2 linked regions of the Bombyx mori genome follow. The protein of the gene in region 1 binds, or shares a complex with, the protein of each later gene. Links are inferred from orthologs where the notes say so. Each region holds a gene or a part of one and is shown in the gene's direction. Other genes may lie near its edges. The genes, in order: RNA polymerase I-specific transcription initiation factor RRN3 and Znrd1.

Region 1 (4,612 bases):
GAAAGCCAGAGTGTCACATAAAAACCAATTGTAATAAATAAGTATATATTATAATGCAAACCCACCAAATTTTGCATTATAATATATACTTAGGTAGGAATACATTGCAATTGCTTTGTTTATTGTATATAACTTACCAATTGAAATTCTCTTCGCCTGTCATATGCCCTTTTTATGGCTCTGTCTAACCACAATGAGTGTATGTGCGGCGCGTAGTGCATGAAGAGTCGGCTGTCGAGCGACGCCGTGCTGTTGAAGTGCAGTGCTTGCTGGCCGATATCCAAATTCCGCGGATTCTCCCATGGTATCGCGAGTTTGTCTCTTGCGTCCACTAACACCTGTATGCCTTTGACAATGTTCTGATATATCACATGCTGGTACTCCCGCACGAGTTCCGGTTCGAATTTCACTTTGTGTATGATTCTCATCTGTTTGAGGAATGTTGACTTTCCGCTTTCACCCGCGCCGAGTAACAACAGCTTCACCTGCCGCCGCAAAGTTTGCTTATCTTTCTCGAGTATTCTGTCGATCTCTTTACTCCTATATCGTTGCTCTATCTCCTCCGGCGATAGCTTCAGACGCAGCCAACAAGTCAGAGCCTCTGTACAGCAGGTACATGACCACAAATCGTTGGCCATTTTGCATGATTATCAAGACAATTAAAAAAGGAAACAAATCAAATCACACTTTATTTGTACAGTTCATTATTTTAAAGTTTTCCAACACAACACACACACTGATAATGATAATACAAAATGAAGATTAAATCCGGAATTCCGAAATACACACGCATTCCACCCCTCCCAATTTCATTGAGAAATGAAAAGTCACAGATAAACGACAAACGTCAAAAATTCAAGTAGGTAGGTACCGTACATGCAGTCTAACATCAAATCACATTCGTAATCTGTAATGCAGACACAACATTCATCTCTACTGTATTCTCTTATATTCTTATTTATATATGTTGTATCTCTATTGAATTCAATAAGTATTGACAGACAAAATAAAGCGGAGTTTATATGAATAATCTAATATTTATAATACTATCAAAAAAATTCGATCGTTCGTACGTTCAATAGATTTGTAACTTTTTAACTCAGTGTTTCTACTTAGGGGAAAATAATAGACAAAGTTTAATTAATCTAAAATAGGAGTCGATTGGCCAGATCGGAGTAATTTTTTACCATGTGTATTATCTACGGAGTTTTTATACGAGTTTCATTCCTAAATTGGGAAAATAAAACTTTTCATTGCAATAATACAATTTTTTTTAAAACATTAAATCGATAAATCAGCTCAAGCTCAAACTGATGACATTAATTATTGAAGTCAGAACTAACTTATTTATAACATTAAAACTATACACAGAAAATAAGTGCTGTCGATAGTTTAATGACAAAACGCAAAAGGGCTCTCATCGAAATAGACAATAAATCTAAAAATAAAAAGTTTTAATAGAGACCAATACCTCAACTAATATGTGCAGTATTTAGACACTAACATGGTGGCAGCGCTTAATACGATTTTATTAGGCGTCTAATTCTTCAAGCCACAAAATTAATTATGCTTTCTTTCGAAAAAGACTTGGTTCGAGTCTTTCAAAAGAAAAGACTAACGTATAGTCATTTTATTCTTTGCCTTTTGAAGATAGAAAAATCAAACCAAAATGACAAATTTCGGCGTGTCAAATAGAAAGTCAAAAAGTTCCGCGCACGTTGCGCACGTGTTCATAAAAGGAACTGAGGTGAAGAATTAGGTTTAGGTGGTTTAATTTGAACGTACGTGTACATTTTCCGTTAATTCATCATAAATATTAATCAATAAAACATCAGCAACATTGTACACAATGTAAAACTTAGAGTTACCGTTAAGCTATGTCGAGAGAAGGTTATAGCCCAGAAAAGAAAGAAAGTGACAACAAGGCTGTTTTAGAGCGATTACAGTCTTATTTGAAAGACAAGAAAAACACTGACGTTTCCGACACGAGCGCCGGGTACAGCAAACCAAGTACGAGCTACGATCCGAACACAAATACTGTCCCGAACATAGAAGATAGTAGTAATATTTTACGCGAAGTACTGAACTACAAAAAAGCAGAATTGCTTCGGCAACCAGACGTAACAGAGTTTTTAAAGGCAATCACGAAAGACTTGAAGAAGTAATGGCGGTAGCGGCTAGGAAAAGCGTCGCGTCCTTGATGCAAAAAACTCTGGATCGCCAAGCGGCTTTAGCTCGTACTAGATTGAAATTCTCCGAAAAACAAATAGAACAGATACTTCTTAATTATGCTAAAACAGGAAACATTGGACCTTACTCGGAATTAGTCAGAGTTTTGAGAGATTACCCATTAAATGATGAGAATTTTCGGATTATTCTCGAAGATTGTCTCTCTTGCGTTCTGATTATGGGACAGGATTTCAAGCAGTTTGTAGAAGCAGTGTGCAATGTTGAGTGGGCTAGTAGGTGTGAAAAGTTAGTCAACCTTTTCAGCACCTTCATCATTAGCCTAGTCACTGCACATATTTACCATTGTCCGCAAGTGATGAGCTGTCTGGTTAAGGTTTTTAAAGGTAAGTTAGCAACACACAGTGGTAGTTCTAGTATACCTGGACAATGATAGCCACTTACGATTCATTGGTTTGTAGGAATTATGAAGATGTCATAAATTATGCTATTACATTATATTATTCTATAATTGTAATATTAAATATAAAATTGTTAAAAGACAAAGAAAATAGAAATGAACATATAAAATATATATTTATATGAACGAATAATCAGTAAATACTAATAAAAACATTGTGAAATATTGTGAAAGAATTTAACACATAAAAGTCAATACAAGTACTCTTTCAGAAATCTAGTAACATTTAAGATTTGAGATTTTCTTTTATTTCATATTCTTACTAATATAACTACTGAAATATTGTATTGTATAAAACTGAATTATATTATTATCATGCTATTAGTCCGTTACTTTTATTATAATGCTTAGATAGGTGGATGAGCTCACAGCCCACCTGGTGTTGAGTGTTCACTGAAGCTTATAGACATACAGAATGTTAATGCTACCACCCACCCTGAAACCTGAGTTCTAAGACTTAGTTTTTACAGTACATCAACTACCCCACCCTTCAATCAAAATACATTACTGCTTTACGACAGGAATAGGCAGGCAAGTGGTGGTACCTACCCACGCATGCTTACAAGTTTCTCTACTGATAGTAATTAAGGAAATTAAAACTTTTACGGGTTTGATTTTTATTACACAACTTCACTGTGGAAGTCATTTGTGAACATTAGTTAAGTAAGTAGTATTCCATCAGAAAAATTGTTACCAGCCTGCAGGATTCCAAACCAGCAGTCACAAGTTGAAGTATCCAAGATAATATTTAAAAAAAAATATTGCCTTTTTAGGCAGACTTACTTAATCTAATAATAATTTTCATAACATTAGTTAGAGATATATTTGATGATGACTATGATATTTTTAGCTAATGAAGAAAACTGGGATGACACTCCACCAACAGAGAAATTGAATAGCTGGTCTAACATTCATACAATCATAGGACAAATTATCGCAATAATGCCGATGTAAGTATTTTACGTAACTTTCTTTAAGGTTATGCTTCATATTACATTGTTTGTGGATGTTTATATCTATCTAACAATTTAAGTAATGTCAGGACTATTTTCTAATGAAGCGCCCTATATGTGTCACGATACATAAAAATTTATAAAATATTTACAGAAATCTTCAACAATTTGAATTAGAGTGGTTTGGGAATTTAATTATTTGAGTATGTGTATTGATTTAGCCCCAGTATTTACTCTTAAGTGAGTGGATATAGGCTAATATATCAAAATGCTTCATGAAGCATATTGATGATATATTTGACAACCTACAAAGGTTGGATGAGATATTTAATTGGTCAGATCTCATTATACTAAAACAGTTCCCTTTTTGGGAACTGTCTTCTGCAGCTAACTAAAAATGTTTGAATACCACAAGATCATCACATAGATGTTTAAAAAGTTTATGGGACCCACCATACTACTTACAAAACATTAGCTGATGAGATCATATTTGAGCCTTCTGTGACACACTCAAAAATTTTAATATAATACTTAATAATAAATGGGTCAATGAGAGACTGAAATTGTTCTCTTAAAATAACCAGGTGCACAGAGTTCTATCTGGCTTTATAAATGACTCTGGAAACTATGTTGTGTGATTTTGCACCTACATCAATCAATACATAGGCGGCACTGAAAATTTCGGGAATTAACGAAGTGACACAACATTACTATTTAAAAATGTATTTATTGCTTTTCGAAGTATTCTCCGCGAAATTTGACACATTTTTCCATACGATGGAACCAATCATTGAAGCAACCATTCCATTCGGAAGTTGGGGTCTCCAAAATGGCCGTTTTGTAGGCGTCCACAGCTTATTCAGGTGATGAAAATCTCTGTCCACGCAATTTATTCTTTATTTTAGGGAAAGTATAGAAATCATTAGGGCTTAGGTCGGGGCTGTACGGCGGCTGGTCTAATAATTATATGTTTTCTTGCTCTAAAAACTCTTGTTCGGTGCGCGGTGTGAGA
Region 2 (3,440 bases), on another chromosome or scaffold:
GGCCAGCATTTTAAAAGAAAAGTTTTTACTGTGTGACAATACTTATGACCTGACTAGGTATATGTAAAATTTTGTCATTAGTAAATAATTGTAAGGTAGCGCCCTCTGTGAATTGTTATTTTAATTTCACGTATAATCCTAAATTAAAATTCACTACAAGAACTTTCATACACGCGTTAGTATTAAAAAATCTCACAGATGGCGCTGTATTAAATAGTATGTATATTTCTGTCTCATTCTTTGCTGGCTTCATCCTACACATTTTTGTATTTGTGTCTCTTACCTGTCGTTTTATCCGTTGCATCCGGTTTGAAATCACAACGATTCTAAAGAAGTTTTCACTTCAAAAGACAGGCTGTCAGTTTGAGGGAAAAATGTCATGATATAAAAAAATGTGTTTTACGTTTTTAAAAGGTTCAAAGATAAAAATCAATTGATTGTTAATGTATACGATTTTAAGGTGCGTGTGGAATAAATAAATGCTTCCTATACTGCAGTTTGAGTTTAATCCGCAACGACGACAGTTGTCAACATATTTCCTAAATACCTACTAATCTATATATGAGAAACAATGAAGATGACTGATTTTAGAGATCCACTATTGAAGAATTGCGTTTATAATTTCGTTTATAGAGTGGAGTTAGTAATAGTGTAAAGAGCAAGAGCTAAAAATGAGCTGTAGTAGACTGTAGTGGTTATATCTACAGCTACTGGGAGCGTTCTGTAGTTCTGTAGGCATTGTCACAGACTGTGGTAGAGAGACAAAAAGTCCACCAAAACTAAAACGTAGAAGTGCAATCTTCATTATTTTAATTACAGCACGTCATTTCGTATCCTCCCGATCCACTAACGGTGCTTTTAAGCACTTCAAATCACCAGTCATCGTTCTCGTCGAAACCGTCGCTTGCGACAAAGGGCTCGGCGAGTAAATTAACCCACAGACACAACCCACTGAGTTTCTGGCCGGATCTTCTCAGTAGGTCGCGATTCCGATCCGCTGGTAGATTCAGAGAAGCACTGCTCTTGCTAGGGTTAGCGTTAGCAACGTCATCAGGTTTGAGTCCCGTGAGCTCACCTACTTGTTAGGTGACGCTAACATAGCCTCTCAAGGCTATGAGCTTAGGTAAGAAAAAGAAACAGTTACTGAACTTCATCTTTTCAAATTTTAGTTACAAGTGATCTAATACTATCAGTATGGGCTATGTTTCCTTTGTCAATTGTCAAACAGTTAAAAAAAATTGTACGTAAGTAATGAATTTATCATTATAGTAAAAAAAAAATAGGTTTTTGTATAGCAAATACTTAGGGTATGTATACACTAAAACTGTCTAAAACCCTTCACAAAAATATATAGTATGCTTCATATTGGTTTAAAAATATATTTTGGTTATGTTTAGTACTAATAGATAAAGATTTAAAATAACCTAATATTCTAAACAAAAATACACAACCCTTTTAGTGATAATTGTGTTTACTTTTAGAAATAATGTCCACTGAAAGCCCGTTATCAACTAGTACAGCGTTTTGTGCTCGCTGTGGGTCCATATTACCCTTGCTACAAGAGTTTGGCTCCGTGAAATGCTACACTTGTAAAGCACATTATGAGGCTGATAGTAAGTATATAGTTGCCAATGAAAAAATTACTTTCATATAAACGGGATACGATTTTTCAGCGTTATGCTTTTGTATAATTTTCGAATATTCACTATTAAATTTATAATAAATAAAAAAACTTTAGTGATACTTATGAAATCCAGAAAGAACCTGTTGTATTTGTTTTCGAAATATAAAATAAAAACTTAAAAAAATGTTTTATTCAGAAATTCTTTTTTTACAGATTATAGTAAAATGAAATTTCAATACACAATACATTTCAATACTATATCTGTGATCACAAATGAGAATATACTACATACTGATGGTCCTGAGGGTCCAGTTGTGGAGAGAAAATGCGCTAAATGCGGTTACGACAGAATGTCATATGCAACTCTACAGTTACGATCGGCCGATGAAGGACAAACAGTTTTCTACACATGTATAAAGTGCAAGTATGTAAATTACAATATTTATTTGTATTTCGATGAGCAAGTCATCAATATCTGTACTTGTATTAAATAAAATTGGACCCTACCACTAGCCTAAGACAGGAAAATAATTGCAACTTGTGGCCAAATTTCCTTGGTAATATAAAACTGGACATAATAATGATCTTGTAAGCAACTACTATCTCAAAAATAAAATTATTTCCTAATTTAAAAAAGAACACATCGTACAAGATAATATCGTAAAGTATTATTTATTTTCAGATACAAGGAAACTGAAAACTCCTAAAGGCTGCTTTATACTAGTTTTAAGGTTGTCAAAGGAAAACTCGGCAATAGAATCATTGTATCAGAATCACTTTATGCAAAAATCAGTTTTACTGATTGTTTTAAATTAGGTAAATTTAATAAGGATTAAAATTAATCACCATGTAACTGGTGCGTAATTTTAATTCCATTTCTTGGAATGATAACTTTTAAACTGTAAATTCTATACTGATTAATCTTAAAAACCATGTTTTAAAAATTACATGTAATAGAATCAAATCTGAATAATTGAAATTATAAACATTTGTCCAAATGTTTTTTTTATGCTGAGAAATACATTTCTATTTTTAAATAATAAGTTCAATGAAAGTTTCTTTTTCAAAAGGTTTTATTTCCATGTTTCTAAAACCATAGCAATATTGAAGAGTTTTATGCAACAAGTTTATTTGGATCTTAGTGTAGAAGATTTACATTTGACAATTTTTGATAAACTTATAATACACTACTCAGAAATAATTCTATGTAGAACAAGCTCGGCCATATTAGTTTCCTACAGTAAGCATAATATGCCTGTATAACAAAAGTACACACTGCTAATCTTCCATAGTAGAAGTCACTGGATTCTGTAATACATACATATTTATTAAGGAAAATTTTTACCTGCCTCCTAAGGCCTTATCCCTTGATACTAACACCAGCACAATCGCTTGATACTTGTAAACCGGCATCGTATCCTATAGACCACAACAACATCAAGTGGGCTGTGAGCTAGCGTAACCATACAATGAAGAAAAATAATCGTAGTATTGGCAACAGTGTCCGTTGTGAATGATGTTTTAAAATGAGATTTTGCTCTAGAAATGTGGGCAGAAGCTATGATGTGGTTGTTTTAGATCACTTACACATTCTCAAGTAATAACAGTGCCGTGTCAATTGCTGAGCACCTGAGGTTTACTCAAGGCAAAACAATATTCATATAATATGTCATTACATAGAAATTCCAACTTTGAGTGAGAAACTTATCATTATTACATTTTCCTTTAGCACATTGGTTCTCAAATTTTATGCTCGTCAAATCTAGATTTTGGTAGTGATTTGAACAATTTTCCAAGTGGTCTTAAAGCACAGTCA

What was found.
Region 2: RNA polymerase I-specific transcription initiation factor RRN3 (region 1) and Znrd1 share a complex: the UniProt entries of both Homo sapiens proteins name them as parts of the pol I pre-initiation complex. The link is inferred for Bombyx mori from reciprocal best matches to the Homo sapiens genes RRN3 and POLR1H.

What each region holds. Positions count from the first base shown.
Region 1 is NC_085116.1:3,278,658-3,283,269, reverse strand, and holds the start of RNA polymerase I-specific transcription initiation factor RRN3, read left to right. Parts: upstream 1-1,596; 5' UTR 1,597-2,164; coding exon 2,165-2,573; intron 2,574-3,497; coding exon 3,498-3,597; intron 3,598-4,612. Other genes in the region: Galpha12 (G protein alpha subunit), read right to left, coding at 138-638. UniProt on the Homo sapiens protein: Required for efficient transcription initiation by RNA polymerase I (Pol I). Required for the formation of the competent pre-initiation complex (PIC).
Region 2 is NC_085112.1:11,752,320-11,755,759, forward strand, and holds Znrd1 (transcription-associated zinc ribbon protein), read left to right. Parts: upstream 1-1,480; 5' UTR 1,481-1,481; coding exon of another isoform or gene 1,482-1,486; coding exon 1,487-1,613; intron 1,614-1,837; coding exon 1,838-2,048; intron 2,049-2,306; coding exon 2,307-2,331; 3' UTR 2,332-2,622; downstream 2,623-3,440. UniProt on the Homo sapiens protein: Core component of RNA polymerase I (Pol I), a DNA-dependent RNA polymerase which synthesizes ribosomal RNA precursors using the four ribonucleoside triphosphates as substrates. Can mediate Pol I proofreading of the nascent RNA transcript.